Neurospora crassa OR74A: one gene and its partners. The protein of the gene in region 2 interacts with the protein of the main gene of each other region in a pairwise test. Links are inferred from orthologs where the notes say so. Each region holds a gene or a part of one and is shown on either strand. Other genes may lie near its edges.

Region 1 (5,022 bases), on a different chromosome or scaffold from region 2:
CGCATGATCCCACGCAATAGGTGATGAGCTGCTGCCGGGATCGTCGTTCCCGAATAAAGCCTTGCGCAAGCTGGCCATGTCATCGGGCAATATTGTATTCTCCTCCGGCCCTGCGAGCTCTGCATCCAGATTCAGATCACCCCGGAGCAATGCTACAACTTCCTGGCCATCGCGCGCTTCCTGTTCGGCGACAGTGGATGCCGGAAAAGAATGAGTCCATTGGTTGTTTGTTGCTGGTACTGTCGAACTCGGAACATTGCCTCTCATATTCCACGCCCCTTCCAATACACCTGCTCCTTCGGGCGCCGTAAGAGGCTCGGTGGTGTCAAGAAAGGCGGCGAAAGAAGCCTCTTGCATCGCAACATGTCCCTGAATCTGGGCTGACCTGATGGTCTCGCCGCCATGAGAGGCAGAATGAAGCGGGGCAGAACTCTCACCCACGCGCTCGAGATTTCCCGTGGCCCTTGCCACTGTTGCCGCCGCTCGTGAGCCTTCTCCCTTCTCGCCGTTGCCTAGTCCCGAAACTGCGCCGGTCATGTTACCTTTGGAGAACAAAGCTGAAGGTAGTGATGTTGCTGACTTGGCGATGCGGGTAAGCAGATCGTCCCCGCCCCCGGTCTGCCCATTGTGGCCTATATCACCAGCACCAACTGATTCCTCCGACGTTCCAACATCCTTTCCTTTACCCTTGGTCTTTTCAGGCATTGGCACCATCTTCAACCTCACAATGAGATTGGTGGGTGCATATAAATCTAGTGATGGGCTGAGATCGATGTGTAAGCGGGAGAGTTGAGTTACAAGAGCCGTACCGATGAGATGATAATAAGAAGGAAGAGATGGAGAGACATCAAGGACCGGCAACGTGCTGCCCAACATCAATAGGTGGGGGCCCTATGACCTGTCAAAAATCCAAGAAGACGAAGGATGCCGTGGCCAGGTCCGAGCAATGATGCGGACCGGGGGAGGGTGGATATCATGTAACTTATATAGTCCCGGCTCCCCGGCAGATCCGCAACGTCAGACCTAGACCCCGAAGTTTCAAGGCGGGCCAGTACACCACACGTGCTTTTTTGGGGTGATTCATGCAGCATGTGCGTTTCGACATGGCCGTGAGGCTACAGCAGCGTCTGGGGAGTTTAGACTCCTCACCTTGAATGACATCTATCATGTAACAGGGATATCAGACCTGCCAAACTTTTCCGTCCAGTCGCGAACTAGACAGTCCTGGCATGTCTGATGGAATATGTACCTGTGAACAAAAGACGGAAGCTGAAAGAGCTGCAGTTGCACCCGTGGGGGCCGTTCGATTGGATGGCAAGGCTCAAGAGATATTGAACAAAGCGACGGGACCACACGCCAACACATGCCATGGGCACAATAAAGCCATGATGCCATCATGGGATCCAGAGACGGACCTCAGCGGTGTTAAGAGGCCGGGTCATGACCATACTTTGCTATGAGCTATTGAAGACGTATGCGGACAACTTAAAGTGCGCTCTTGATCCATAGCATACGTCCAAGTTCAATAGCTAGTCAGCTGGCACAAAGCGAGTGTGCCTTTCTGGTGTAGATGCCCGTATACCATCACCCAATACCTAGCGCAGAGGTTGATACTAGGTAGGTAGGTATATACCTACGAGCCTACCTCGTAGTTGTACATGGCAGATGCCATCTCGTCGCCGCCCGGGATAAATGGACCCCGCAATTGCTCACTGGTGGAAGCTGCGCGGCCCTGGGTATTGGACGAGATCTTCCATTCACCGAGCAGGCCTGAACGGGCGGGCATGGAGGGCACGGGCTGACGGGCCCCCATGCCCCTGTGTTGAGGAGGGAGGGGCCAACCTTACCACCATACGTACCTACTTAGCATGTAGTAAAGGGTACCTCATCGCCCGCCCATCCACCCCGTGCCCACTCCGTACCTCGCTAACTAACTAGCTCGTCATTCCCTTCAATCGCCAAAGCTTAACTCCCTGGCAGGATGAGGGCGTCCTTGCTTGCTCCTTCCCACATCTCGGCCCATCTATCTCCATCTCCATCCACCATCCGTCTTTTGCTCAATCTTGCAAAGGCAACAACCTAACCCTTCACCAACAACACTTTACGCCATATCCGCATACAGCACTCGGCTTGACGTACCCCGCATCTTCACTTGGCTTTGCGCACCTGCAGCACGAACAGGAAACCGGCCCACGTCCAGAGGTAGTCAGCTCCCAGGAAGCAACGACAGATTATCGCTCGGTCGGCACCCATAGTCTTCAGTTGTCCAGGTCTCGCCGCTGCGGCAAAAAACACTCTCTCAGTTGGGTTCAGGTTCGCACCTCAATCGCTTTATCGCTGCACTACTAGGTACTTAGAGGTAGTTTTCCGTCTGGCCGTTGAGCCTCACACCCTCCATCCCGGGCCCCATCAGGTCCTCCTCCGCCCAGCTACCTAGGTACCTCGCTGCGCTACCGGCGTACCTCCGTCTGCTTCCCTTTCGTCGCCCTACGTACCTTACTACCACTCGGGTCGGGCTCTGCTTCCACCACACCCGACCGCCCACCAGCCAGGTACATTACATACCTTACCTCAACACCTACCAAGTTTGCTTATTGCTTTCCTCCCGTCTTTCCCTACCCGACCGACCCTTACCTTCATCCATACATATGCTCCCTGCAACAACATCCATAGCGCACCCACGTGTTTTAACCCGGTCTCTGTTGGGCACCTCTCTCCAGATCTCCAACTCCCGTCTCTCCGCCATCCCTTGATTTCGCGCCTCGAGCTCGTGAAATCTCTTCTTGTCCATCATCGCCCTTGGGAACGTCGTCCCTTGCCGCCGTTGCCCGTCTGTCCCTCCGTCCGCTCGTCGTCCTTGTCCCATATCTGGTAGAGGTGGGGATCTCATCGCCCACGGCCCCGGGAATCGTTGAAGATGGTGGAAACAGATACCAACTCTCCGACATGGAAGTTTACCCAGTAAGTCGAACTCCTCCTTGACCCTCCGTCATGTTTTCCATCCCCGTCGACTTCTGCCTCACGAGCGTCCGTCTCTGTGCGATTGCGCTCGTGCCTGTCCCTGTGCCCGTACCCGCGCCCGCGGCTGGATCCGATCTCCGCTCCACGTTGACCTACGCCTTTCTCCGTCAACGCTCTTCTTTATACGAGACGTCGCCTCGTTTTCCTGTGTTTGCCCCACTTCATCGTACTGAGATCTTGTCATAGATGCTTCGGCGACAAGGGAGATGTTGAGGACATCACCGAAGGTACGACCCACCCCTCCTCCCACGACGGGTCCCTCGACCAGGAGCCCGTCAATGCCCCTCCTCACGTCATCAATACCCTCAGCCATACTGACCCGCCTTTACCAGCCGATATCATCTCCACGGTAGAATTTGACCACACCGGAAACTACTTGGCGACTGGTGATAAGGGTGGACGAGTCGTGCTATTTGAACGGAACGAGACGGTTAGTGGAGTTGCGGCAAACCCCCCCTCTCCCCTTTCCCTTCCGGCTTATTTGCTGGCCCGCTTCTTGTCTATGTCTTGCTTACCTGTGGACAGAAAAAAACCTGCGAATACAAGTTTCATACCGAATTTCAGTCCCACGAGCCCGAGTTCGACTACCTCAAGTCCCTTGAAATTGAGGAAAAGATCAATAAAATCAAGTGGTGCAGGAGACAAAATGCCTCCCACTACCTCCTCTCGACAAACGATAAGACGATCAAGCTATGGAAAGTGTTCGAGAAGTCGCTTAAGGTTGTCGCCGAGAACAACCTATCCCATGATTTGACGCCTGCAAGCGTAGCCGGCGGTGGAGGCGCACCTCGTGCCTTACCTCATACTCAGTTTCGCAGTCCCGCCGATCTCAAGCTACCCAGGCTTACCCATCACGACACAGTCGTTGCCGCCGTGCCTCGGAGAACATATGCCAATGCTCATGCGTACCACATCAACAGCATTTCCGTCAACAGCGATGGCGAGACCTTCATCAGCAGTGATGATTTGCGGATCAACCTATGGAATCTGAATATCCAAGACCAGAGCTTCAACATTGTGGACATCAAGCCGGCGAACATGGAGGAATTGACAGAGGTCATTACAGCCGCAGAGTTCCACCCTCTGAGCTGCAACTGGTTCATGTATGCCAGTTCTAAGGGCACAATCAAGCTGGCAGATATGCGCGAAAGGGCGTTGTGCGACCAGCACGCAAAGAGTACGTTGGATTTCGGTGAACTGTGTTTGAAGTGTTTTTTTTTTTTTTTTTTTTTTTTTTTTTTTATCTCTATTCTCCGCTGATCATTGCTTACAATTCGTTTTTTTCTTCCCTGTATAGTGTTCGAACAAGAAGAAGACCCATCGTCCCGATCTTTCTTCTCTGAAATCATATCTTCCATCTCCGACGTTCGATTCTCCCATGACGGCCGGTATATCCTTTCTCGCGACTACTTGACGGTCAAGATTTGGGATGTCAACATGGAGCGGCAGCCAGTCAAGACGATTCCAATTCATGAACACCTCAGGCCGAGACTCTGCGACACATACGAAAATGACAGCATTTTTGACAAATTCGAGGTTGTATTCTCTGGAGACGCCAAGAACGTAATGACAGGAAGCTACAACAACAACTTCATGATCTACCCATCGGATCCCGACAAGGAGGTGGAGGTCGTCCTGCAAGCGGATAAGTCGGCGTTCAAGGCCAAGAAAGTTGGGGTGCCGACACCCATTAATTCGTCGACAAGTCCCACAGCTAACGGTGGTAAGAAGGGAAATTCACGGGCAGGAAGCCCGGCAGCGGCAGGCCAGGGCCAAAGGATGCGTAAAGAGACAGACGCCGATCAAATCGACTTCAACAAGAAGATTCTCCATATGAGCTGGCATCCGTTCGAGGACAGCATCGCCATCGCAGCAACCAACAACGTAAGTTCTTGCCCCGCTAGTTCTTAACCGCATCCTCATCTGGGCCCTATTGATAGCTAACCATCTTTCCCACAGCTATTTGTCTTTTCCGCGTTGTAGGCAGAATGATGAAGGCGG
Region 2 (5,032 bases):
TAACGCTGCTCTGTTGGCTCATTGATGGTAACAAAAACTTTCTTCATTAGGTGGGACTCTCTGCTTTCCTATGTTCTTCCGTCTCAAAATCCGTTGTCTATGGAGATGTGTTCATGGGCTCCCCACCGCTAGGAACAGGATTTCCTGCCTCGGTGGCAGCTCCCATAAGAGGACCAGTTGCTTGGGCCGCAGCAGTCGTCGCAAAGTACCGCACATCCACATCATCATCCTTTTGCAACTTCTCCAAGCACGGCATGATGCGCTGCTGGATGAGCTCCTGACCCTTGGGCGACGGGGTGGCAGGCTTGCCCTCCTTCTCTAGCGTATAGATGGTGCCCTCGTCGGGCAGACGACGCAGAACACCGATGATGATGCCATATGTCTTTGCGACGTTAAAGCGAATATTGGGGATCGAATCGGCTGTGAGCTTTTCCAGCATCGGAAGGATGGACTTGGCAATCACATCCAGACTGACAACGGTAGCCAGGGTCTGTAAACACTAGTCAGACAGGGACTTCACTGATTTTCGTATGCCATTGAGTCTCTTACCGTGATAGCAAAGCAAGTGGTCATCCGGTAAAGGTAGTTGGGGTGGGCACCCATAGCCATAACCTTGGGAATAATAGCCTCGCTTGCCCACTCAACACCAAACACCTCGGTCAGCTTCCTTAGGTTTTGAGTAGCGGCCTCACGAATGGAGAAAACAGTATCTCCGAGCCAGCCCATGCAAAGCTGGCTGAGCTTCTCGTCAAAAAACTTGACGCCCAGCTGGCTGGCAAGAAGCGGGATGTAGTCGATAATAGCCAAGCGTACACGCCACTGCTTATCTTCGGCTAGCTGTACAATGGCCGGAAGGAGAGACTGAGAAAGGAGGTCGATGCCGATAACTTGGTTCACAAGCTCCAGTTTGCTGATGATGTGAAGGCGAACCTCTGGGAACTCGTCCTTGAGCATCTGAAGGAACATGGGCAGAAGATGATCAATAGTCCTTGTGCAATAATTAGCATACGCATCAAAGAAACCGTGTCTGACTGCGGGAACGTACTCTTGCTTGCCCAAGATAGGAGCGAGGCCGCTGATTTGTGTGCCAAGGGCAGCTCTGACATGCTGGGAGCTATCCGAGACGAGATCCTCAACACTTCCCATGATGTCATTCAGGAGAACGTTGCGGTCAACCAAAGCACAGAAGCCAGGGATCTGGCCGGCGATGGCAGTCCGCACCTCAGCCTCGTTATCTTTCAGGAGTTTTACGAATGCAGGAACAAGATCTCTGGACACAACCTCATCATCAACCGCCTTCGCAATCTGTATGTGCTGTTAGTCATCCAAGAATTGATATGAGGGGAGGCCAAGTGCTTAGCGCGACCACGAACCTTCTCAAATCTGTCGGCGATCATATAGCGGACCCTCCAACTCTTGTCCTCTATCAAGCTGCGTAGCGATGTGAGGAGCACGGTGTGGCTGGCTTGTTGCTCTTTGGGCACAACCTCCGCAATAGAGATCAAAATCTCGACTGTAAGGAGTCTGACGCTGTCCTGGTCGTCCTGGGCGAGGTGTTGGAACATGGGTATCATTTCCTCGATAACGATGGGAGCCGGCATCTCCTTCACGAACTTGGCCATGTTGGTGGCGGCCTGACGGCGCACCATGGGGGTCTCATCGTGGACGAGCTGTCCAAACTGCTGGCGCAATTGTTCTTGAATAGGCGGCGAAACTTTCGAGTAGGGGGTTGTATACAGGCCGCATGCGGAAACCTTGGACGTAAACCAGTCGGCCTTGGAGAGGCGAATCGTAAGAGGGATAAAGTATTCTTCAACTTGCTGCGAAGAGAGTTGAGTGCAGATCTTGTTCAATGATTCGACAGCCTAAAACGTTTGTCAGTACACATGCGGGTCGCATGACAAGAAGCCAGGAAATGGTCACGTATCCGTACCTTGTCTCGCACCACGGGCTCCTCGATAGCAGCGAGGTTCTCAAGGGGGGAAAGAAGGACATGTCCCCATGCGGGGCCCCCCACGTACTCGACAAAGTTACCAAGCTCTTCACTCAGGGCAACGAGGACCTCATCTTCATCTTCAACCGATTCTGCATTCAGAAGTGTCAGCAGCCGTATCTCAAGAGTCCCAGCGGCTGTGTAGCCAGAGGCCGGCGCAGGTGGGTTTGCTAGGCTGAAGCTGGGTCGAAGGGTTGGCTAACCATCGAGAAAGGGAATCAGCTCCTCGCGAGTGCGCTCGGGACCCAAAGCAAGGGCGATAGTCGAAAGACGGTGGATGGCGTTTAATCGGAGGACGACCTCGTCGTGCTGCCCAAAGTCAATCAGGGTTTACAGTCCATCAACCAGACAAGAAGGGATAGTCAGGGGTTCTGGCCGTCCGGGTCACCGCCATCATACCTTCAATTCGTCGATTAGCACGGCGATGGGGAAGAGCTCGTCGTTCGCGTTCGTCGCGTCGGCCATTGTGGGCGATTTGTGAAGTGGACGCGGAAGATCGCGGGGGAGTATACAGTCGGCGAGCGAGGCGGATTTGGACAAACTGGTTGACTTGGTACGGATGTTCGCTTGCGGGCGTGATGCAATAGACGGGGGGGTGTGGACTGGACTGGTAGCCGGTCGGGCGACGCTGTGCGGCGGCGGTACCAGTGACTGTGATTGTGGTAGAGAGAGGAAAGTGGATGCGTGCGTGTGCGCAACTTGGTAACTGCGTTGCTTGGGCGGGCAGCTAGGTAGGTAGGTAGGTTTGTTGTATTTAGGTTGGTTTTGGTTGCTTGGTTGAAAAAGAAAAAGCAAGAGTGACGCTTCGTCGGGTCGAAATCGGAATTGGATGCGATCTCTCAGCAGTAAGGTAGTTTCGCACACGGCGCCACGACACGGCGGGCAGCAAGCAGGCAAAGAAGGAATGATACTGGACGGTTTTGCTTGATAATAGGTAAGGGTTGCTTGATGGAGGGTTGACGGTGGTTCCTGTTCGGGGGGAGGACTCACCTACACCTAGAGGTGGAGATCGGAGCGAGCTTGGTGGTCCCCGCAGGGCCGCAACAAGGAGGAGCAGCAACAGCAGCAGCCAGGGCAGCAGGGCAGCAGGGCAGCACTTAAGGTCGCCTAACCAACGGCGGGACACAGCTGGACCCGGTCTTCGACACAAATTGACCTGACGCGCAAAGCTGGGGTCCAGTTCATGACGGGGGCCGGGCGGACAAGGGTGAGAACTGAGAAGGAGCACTGGCCACTCGCCATTTCAGCTTGGGACGTAGCCGCCCGTTCCCGTCGTAGGGGTGGCCCCTCAAGGCGCACCGGGCACCACTTACGTAGGTACCTACTTGCTGCACCACGAGAGTTAGGTAGGTAGGTACCTCTATCAATGAACCACTTCTTTCGCTTCCAACTCGCGACGTAAGCCGCTCTTTCTGTTCAACTTACATTTCTTCGTGAGGTCAGGTTGTTGGAAAACACTGCAGACTGACATAAAAAGGAGGTGCTACAGCTCCGGAAGAATGGCAACAGCCATCAAGATGCAAGAAGGGGAGAATGTTTAACACCAACTAACTGCCTTGTTACAGCCTAAGGTGAGTTGTTACAACATCACGTATTCCAATTCTGACTCACTAAAACATCATCACATGTTAATACTGATACTGGTTTGGGAATGTATGCTGTTCATATTTTGCTGTCTTATAAAGTCAGGCATTACTGCAACTAAAGCATCGCTAACCTTGCTTCATCAGGGAGCATGCTGTTCCAACGTGCTATTCTCATAACGGGAACCAATTGCCCACATATTATTCTACTCTTTCTCCAACATTCTTCACCACTCATCTAACTCATACTCTTCATCTCCTGCTCCGCCAGTTCGTTTTGCGAATTCCGCCCGGAATCAGAGCCAGATCCTCCAATCGAACTTCGCCCTGTGCTCCCACCGGTGCCGCCGCCAAACATAGCCTTTCCAAGCGACAATCCGGAAATCCTCTCCTGAAGAGCTGCAAAAGTGCCCGTAGGATCTCCAGCGGCGACATTCCGGTTTGGTGGCGCCGGACTTCTAGTCCCGGGCGTCAGAACCTCGTGGGCCGACTCCACGCCTGCATGCACGGACCCTCCGGCCGCGGTAGCTGCCAAGCCCGGCGGCAGCGGGCTCCGGGTGGGGCTTACCGATGTCCGCGATGGGGCGCCGGACGATGGTGGGTTGCTGTTCACATCAATCGTACCCGCATCGACAGGCCTTGAAAGCTCTGATGACGACGAAGCTTGCTGATACGCAGCAACACGCTCTGCTGTTGCGGCCAAGGCATTGAGGTCGCCATTCATCTCATCATCCGTCCGGTTGAAGAGTTGGTGCCACCACCGCACGTCGTCGCAGCGAGGGAATAGTATACGCTCACGGCCCCTGACGTGGTCGTCAACTGTGGCATCGTACTGCTCGTTCGTGAACTCCGAGCGCCGGCTCAGAAAGTAGGCCCACACGCTTCTTGTACGTTCTTGTAACCGTGCTTCGTGGCGCTGGCGCTCGTTGTTGAACAAAAAGGTACCGTACTGACAAGAATACACATGGTAGTATAAGCGGCGCAGGAATCGTTCGTTAAACTCGAAGCGAGTCGGGTGTTGCCTGAGGAGCTGGTAGGTGGCGTCGAGGAACTGGTGGAAGACAGGCGAGATATCCTTGGGTCTTGTTGCCATATTTTCGGCAACAGCAGGTTCCACGCCGGTCTCGATAGGCGTCCCATCCGCATCAGTAACGGCTTCCTTCCCGCTGGCCGTTTTTTTGCTCCAAAATCGCTTCGCGCCGGCTATGGCGTTCTCAAAATGGTCTGCCCGACCATCATTTTCCCCTGGCTTCACGGCGGTCCCTGCAAGTGCATCGCCGTCCACTGTAAACCAGTCCTCATGACTTAGATGCCCTGACCGAAGGTGAAACATGTGTCCAAAAGACAGCCAATCCTTCTCAACCAGCACAATGAAGCCTTCGAGAGTGCGATAATAGGGATCAAGCATCAGCTGAGAAAGGGCACTGAGCTGGCTTGTGCGATCCCATCCATCGGA
Region 3 (4,714 bases), on a different chromosome or scaffold from region 2:
GTAGGTATGTAATTGCTCTTGCCTTTGTGCATGCCCTGCATAGGTGGTTACTATGCCGTAACGCGGTTGTATTGGGTAGGTAACATGATTCGCTCTTTCCTTTTAGCCATCAAACGAGCCTGAGATATTCATTGCCAACCAAACCTTAGAAATACAAAGACTGACGCTCGTTGATTCATACCATCTGACCACAGAAACACTGAAGCAAGCAAATGAGGCTTGAAAAAGGAAGAACCTGTGGGGAGCACTGGAAATGGGCCCAAGACACCCTGCATGGCGCTAAATGAACGCCTGCAGTTCATTCGAGTGGAGATCATTGACACCTGTAATTACCAAGACTGGGGCTCGGGGCCACCTCCAAGCATGGACACATCGGTTAAGACTACCGCAGTATACCTCCCCTAGAGGGGACCTGTTGTGCTTGATCTCTATCGCTGGCCTATTATTTCCCCTAGCGTTTTCTATGTACGTAAAGTTAGTACAGCGATAGCGCAGCCTACCTACACAACTCTTGAATTGCCTGGTGACATCCGCTTCCACGGCACACCAGCAACGGAATAACATTTCAGCCTCGCCATCCCATTTCCATTCCCTGGACGTCCTTTCGCCCTGTTCGGGTGATCATCTCCAGGCCGTAATAAGCGCGCCGGCGTATCTAGATCAGCTTCCCCTTGGGCGCTACTACTTCAGGGAATCTGCTCGGGCACTTTGCGAAACCGAGCTACAACAGAGGAAAGAAAGTGCAGTGTTCTCTTTGCCGTTTCAGCCTCGAGCCCGTCTTCACTCTGCATGTAATTGTCAAGGACATGGTAACAACAACCGTCCCTATAGAGGTAGCTGCTGTTACACCTCTTTGAAGCTTCGTACAAGACCGTCCCTTAGTAAAACCTGATTCAAGGTTCCGTCCGGGGTCTTTTTAGGCGATCATCACCTTCCCATTCATTTACAAGCTTTTGCGTCTGTCCACGACTTTGCTACGTCGGTACCTGACTACCTTAGGTACCGTACCTTACCTAACCTAGGAGCCTAGGCAGGTAGTTGACAGCCACAAAACACACCGCTCGGACCTCCAACAACCCAACATACCTCTAGTGAACCTAACAAAGTTGGAAGCGAGTTGACGCAGCCGAGTGAGCAGCTCCAGCGTCCGAAGGGAATTTCTCACACAGCTCGGCTTCGACTCCGCGTTGTACCTCTAGTGTACACTCACCACCAACGAAGAGTGGAAGCGACAAGGGACTGGACCATTGGACAAACAGCCACATCACCTGGCACCTGGCACCCTCACACTCGGCTTTGGGTCCCGCGATTGCATCCCGTCCAGCCCCGCAGCAACATCCTGGGCCTGGCTCATCTGGGCCTACACTCACTGGGCAGATCTACCACCCAGACTTCCACTTCTGGCTTGTTTAGCGGATTGGTGCTGGCGCTACCTGATTCTTTAACAGCACCCTACCTACTCTCAAGAGTCCCGTCTCGCACCTCCATCGAACCAGCAAGTTCGTCCCTCTCTCTGGCATTCGCTTCATCCCCCCCTCCCCCCCCCCCCCCCCAAAGGTCCCAAAACACACACTGGACTTGGAAGCACCAATTCCCAACTCCCATCCGGCAACGTCCCTACAGCAACACCTACCACGCCAGCACGCCCGCCGTCGACGAGACACCCTGCGCTTGTTGTCGTCACCTTGACTTGTCATCCGATCCCGCGCGGCTTTGATTCCGTTACTCCGCCAGTTCGCCGTGCGCCCTCAGAGCATTTCACCCTGCTACTGCTGCTGTAGCCGTTGCCTCTGCCACCATCGAGAGAGCGCGCTCCCCCGACTCCCGTCGCCGACACCCCTAGCATTAACTATCCTACCAAGGTTACCATTCAATCGGCCGTCGGGCAACTACACAAAGTCGATTGACACGCCGTGGCCTCGCCATCATCCAACGCGGCGTCGTTCCCATTTATACTGCCAGCCACAGTCGGGCTTGTGGTCGGAAGTTCGCTCTGACGCACTGCACCCCTCCTCTTCGACATCCAGGCGGGACGTAGAGCTTTCGGTGAAGCAAGTCCGCGACCGGCCGCCCGTTGGCATCGCAGTCTCAAACCCGCGAGCTGTTCGGCACACATCCTAGCCTTTGGCTAGCCACCCCCTTTTCGTATACAGCAGCTATCAGACTATCGCCGCGCCCTCATTACCCCTCCACCTTCAGGTCGGGCAGCCTTCACTCGCCCCACAGGCAGAGAAACTGTTGTCCTCAAAGATGAAGCGGTTCAGCCAGAGAGTCGTAAGTCAACCCTAGGTCTTCTGTAAGCTGTCCCGTTGGAACGGATCGCTAATGCTACACCGTCGTGCTAGCTCTCGAGGACGAAGGACAAGGATTCCAAGTCCAAGAAGAATAAGGATGCGAAGGACGGAACAGCTTCCCCCAACTCACAAGGCTCTCGCGAGGCCACCCAGTCGCCCGTTCTCACCCCTTCATCGTCTACGTCGACACTTGTAAATGACAGCCGTAACAAGCCATTGCCGCCTAACAATGCGGCCCATGGCGACCACGGCAATTCCATGCTCGGCCCTCAAGGCGGCAACTCGAACCCTGGCGCAGCGGATAGATTCAGCAGTATCGGGGGGCAGCAACAGGGCGCCAACGGCGGCAGCACCCCTGTCCGTCACGGCACCCTTCCTCCTACCGTTATAATCAGCCCCAGCGCGCCGGTAAGAAGCTCCTTGGACTGCCGTACCTGGACCATGGAAATACTAACGATTGGTTGTCGTAGCATGTCCCACCTCCCGGCGCCGCGGAAACGATGCCGCACGATCTCGCTCCTCCAAAAGCCGGACAAAAGTCGCTTATGTTTGACCGTTTACACCAGACCCCCAAAGACGTCCTGGAAGGGCTCAGGACGCCAAAGAGGCAGAACTCGTCGCGGTTCGACATCTCAGCCCATCGCGAGCTCGAGAAGCTCCCGGGCTTCCATGAGGTGGCCCCCAATCACCGCCAGGATCTGTTCATGAAGAAGATCGAGCAGTGCAACGTCATCTTTGACTTCAATGATGCGAGCGCCGACATGAAGTCCAAGGAGATCAAGCGATTGGCCCTTCACGAGCTGCTGGATTATGTCGCTAATAACCGGCAAGTCATCACTGAGCCAATGTATCCGCGTGTGGTTGAGATGTTTGCAAAGAACTTATTCCGCCCAATTCCTCCTCCCATGAACCCGCAGGGTGAAGCTTTCGATCCCGAAGAGGATGAACCGGTCCTGGAGGTTGCCTGGCCGCATATTCAAGTTGTCTATGAGTTCTTCCTCCGGTTCATTGAAAGTCAAGATTTCAACACCAATATTGCCAAGGCGTATATCGATCATAGCTTCGTTCTTCAGCTACTCGAGCTCTTCGACTCCGAGGACCCCAGAGAACGGGACTTTTTAAAGACGACTCTGCATCGTATCTACGGCAAGTTCCTCAACCTGAGGTCCTTCATCCGCCGCTCTATCAACAACGTCTTTTTCCAGTTCACGTACGAAACTGAAAGATTCAATGGTATTGCCGAACTGCTCGAAATTCTTGGGTCAATCATCAACGGTTTTGCGCTCCCTCTCAAGGAGGAGCACAAGCTTTTCCTTACCAGAGTATTGCTTCCTCTTCACAAGGTCAAGAGTCTGAGCATGTACCATCCCCAATTGGCGTACTGCATCGTGCAGTTCCTGGAGAAGGATGCTTCCTTGACAGAAGAGGCATGTGACACACCCCGTCTTTTGCGACCCCACCATAAGCTAACATTTGTCTCAGGTTGTTCTCGGACTTCTCCGTTATTGGCCCAAGGTCAACAGCACCAAGGAGGTCATGTTTCTCAACGAGGTTGAAGACATCTTCGAGGTCATGGACCCGGCTGAGTTCGCCAAGGTCCAAGAACCTCTGTTCCATCAGCTCGCCAAATCGGTTGCCAGCCCGCACTTCCAGGTCGCCGAGAGAGCTTTGTATTTCTGGAACAACGAGTACTTCTGCAATCTCGTGAGCGACAATGTCGAGATCATTCTCCCCATCATGTTCGCTCCTCTCTACGAAAACTCCAAGGGACATTGGAATAGGTACGTGTTTGAACAACATCACATATTTTGAGGTATCACGACTAACCGAAAATAGAACCATCCACGGCATGGTATATAACGCTATGAAGCTATTTATGGAAATCAACCCGCAGCTATTCGATGATTGCTCCCACGAGTACACGGAAAACCAAAGCAACGCCCCTGCAAGGGAAGCTCATCGCCAGAGCAAATGGGCTCGACTCGAAGAACTCGCGAAGCAGAGGAAAGTAGAAAGTGGAACATCCAATGGCACCAGCTCTATCCCAGCTCGCACCACTGTCCACCCGCTGCCTCGCCTAGAAGAAGTAGACGGTACAGAGGATAATCAAAAGAGGCTGGATTCTTTGAAGTTGCAGGATGGTGATAGAAGGGAGCGACGACCCGGGATGCACGAGAGGCAAAGCTCAGTAGGTTCATCCAGAAGTCGGTAATACGCCTTCACGAAGGAGCTGTCTTTTCAGGCGTGTTGTTCTTTTTTATTTTATCTTGGAGCTCAAGGCCACGGGCATTGTTCGGTGTCAAAGTCATGTACGAAGCTGGGAAAACCCGTCATCACGCGATTGGAGGAAGAAGGAAGTTGAAGGAAGCAGGGAAACAAGGCTGAACAGGGGCTTTTTTGCCGGCCGGTCTTATATACGT

Evidence for each region.
Region 1: the proteins of NCU00488 (region 2) and rgb-1 interact in binary tests that used the Schizosaccharomyces pombe proteins (3 or more experiments, as listed by UniProt). The link is inferred for Neurospora crassa OR74A from reciprocal best matches to the Schizosaccharomyces pombe genes paa1 and pab1.
Region 3: the proteins of NCU00488 (region 2) and NCU03786 interact in binary tests that used the Schizosaccharomyces pombe proteins (3 or more experiments, as listed by UniProt). The link is inferred for Neurospora crassa OR74A from reciprocal best matches to the Schizosaccharomyces pombe genes paa1 and par1.

What each region holds. Positions count from the first base shown.
Region 1 is NC_026501.1:3,523,555-3,528,576, reverse strand, and holds the start of rgb-1 (protein phosphatase PP2A regulatory subunit B), read left to right. Parts: upstream 1-1,992; 5' UTR 1,993-2,917; coding exon 2,918-2,961; intron 2,962-3,207; coding exon 3,208-3,248; intron 3,249-3,353; coding exon 3,354-3,451; intron 3,452-3,546; coding exon 3,547-4,198; intron 4,199-4,318; coding exon 4,319-4,905; intron 4,906-4,980; coding exon 4,981-5,004; 3' UTR 5,005-5,022. Other genes in the region: NCU09376 (hypothetical protein), read right to left, coding at 1-876. UniProt on the Schizosaccharomyces pombe protein: Phosphatase 2A affects a variety of biological processes in the cell such as transcription, cell cycle progression and cellular morphogenesis, and provides an initial identification of critical substrates for this phosphatase.
Region 2 is NC_026503.1:4,029,231-4,034,262, forward strand, and holds the start of NCU00488 (protein phosphatase PP2A regulatory subunit A), read right to left. Parts: upstream 3,184-5,032; 5' UTR 2,459-3,183; coding exon 2,393-2,458; intron 2,303-2,392; coding exon 2,197-2,302; intron 2,086-2,196; coding exon 1,934-2,085; intron 1,866-1,933; coding exon 1,374-1,865; intron 1,306-1,373; coding exon 1,046-1,305; intron 989-1,045; coding exon 550-988; intron 491-549; coding exon 98-490; 3' UTR 1-97. Other genes in the region: NCU11185 (protein phosphatase), read right to left, coding at 3,815-5,032. UniProt on the Schizosaccharomyces pombe protein: Phosphatase 2A affects a variety of biological processes in the cell such as transcription, cell cycle progression and cellular morphogenesis, and provides an initial identification of critical substrates for this phosphatase.
Region 3 is NC_026505.1:2,408,288-2,413,001, reverse strand, and holds the start of NCU03786 (serine/threonine protein phosphatase 2A), read left to right. Parts: upstream 1-1,551; 5' UTR 1,552-2,250; coding exon 2,251-2,274; intron 2,275-2,345; coding exon 2,346-2,702; intron 2,703-2,764; coding exon 2,765-3,721; intron 3,722-3,776; coding exon 3,777-4,075; intron 4,076-4,130; coding exon 4,131-4,506; 3' UTR 4,507-4,714. UniProt on the Schizosaccharomyces pombe protein: The B regulatory subunit might modulate substrate selectivity and catalytic activity, and might also direct the localization of the catalytic enzyme to a particular subcellular compartment. Has a role in cell shape control and septum formation.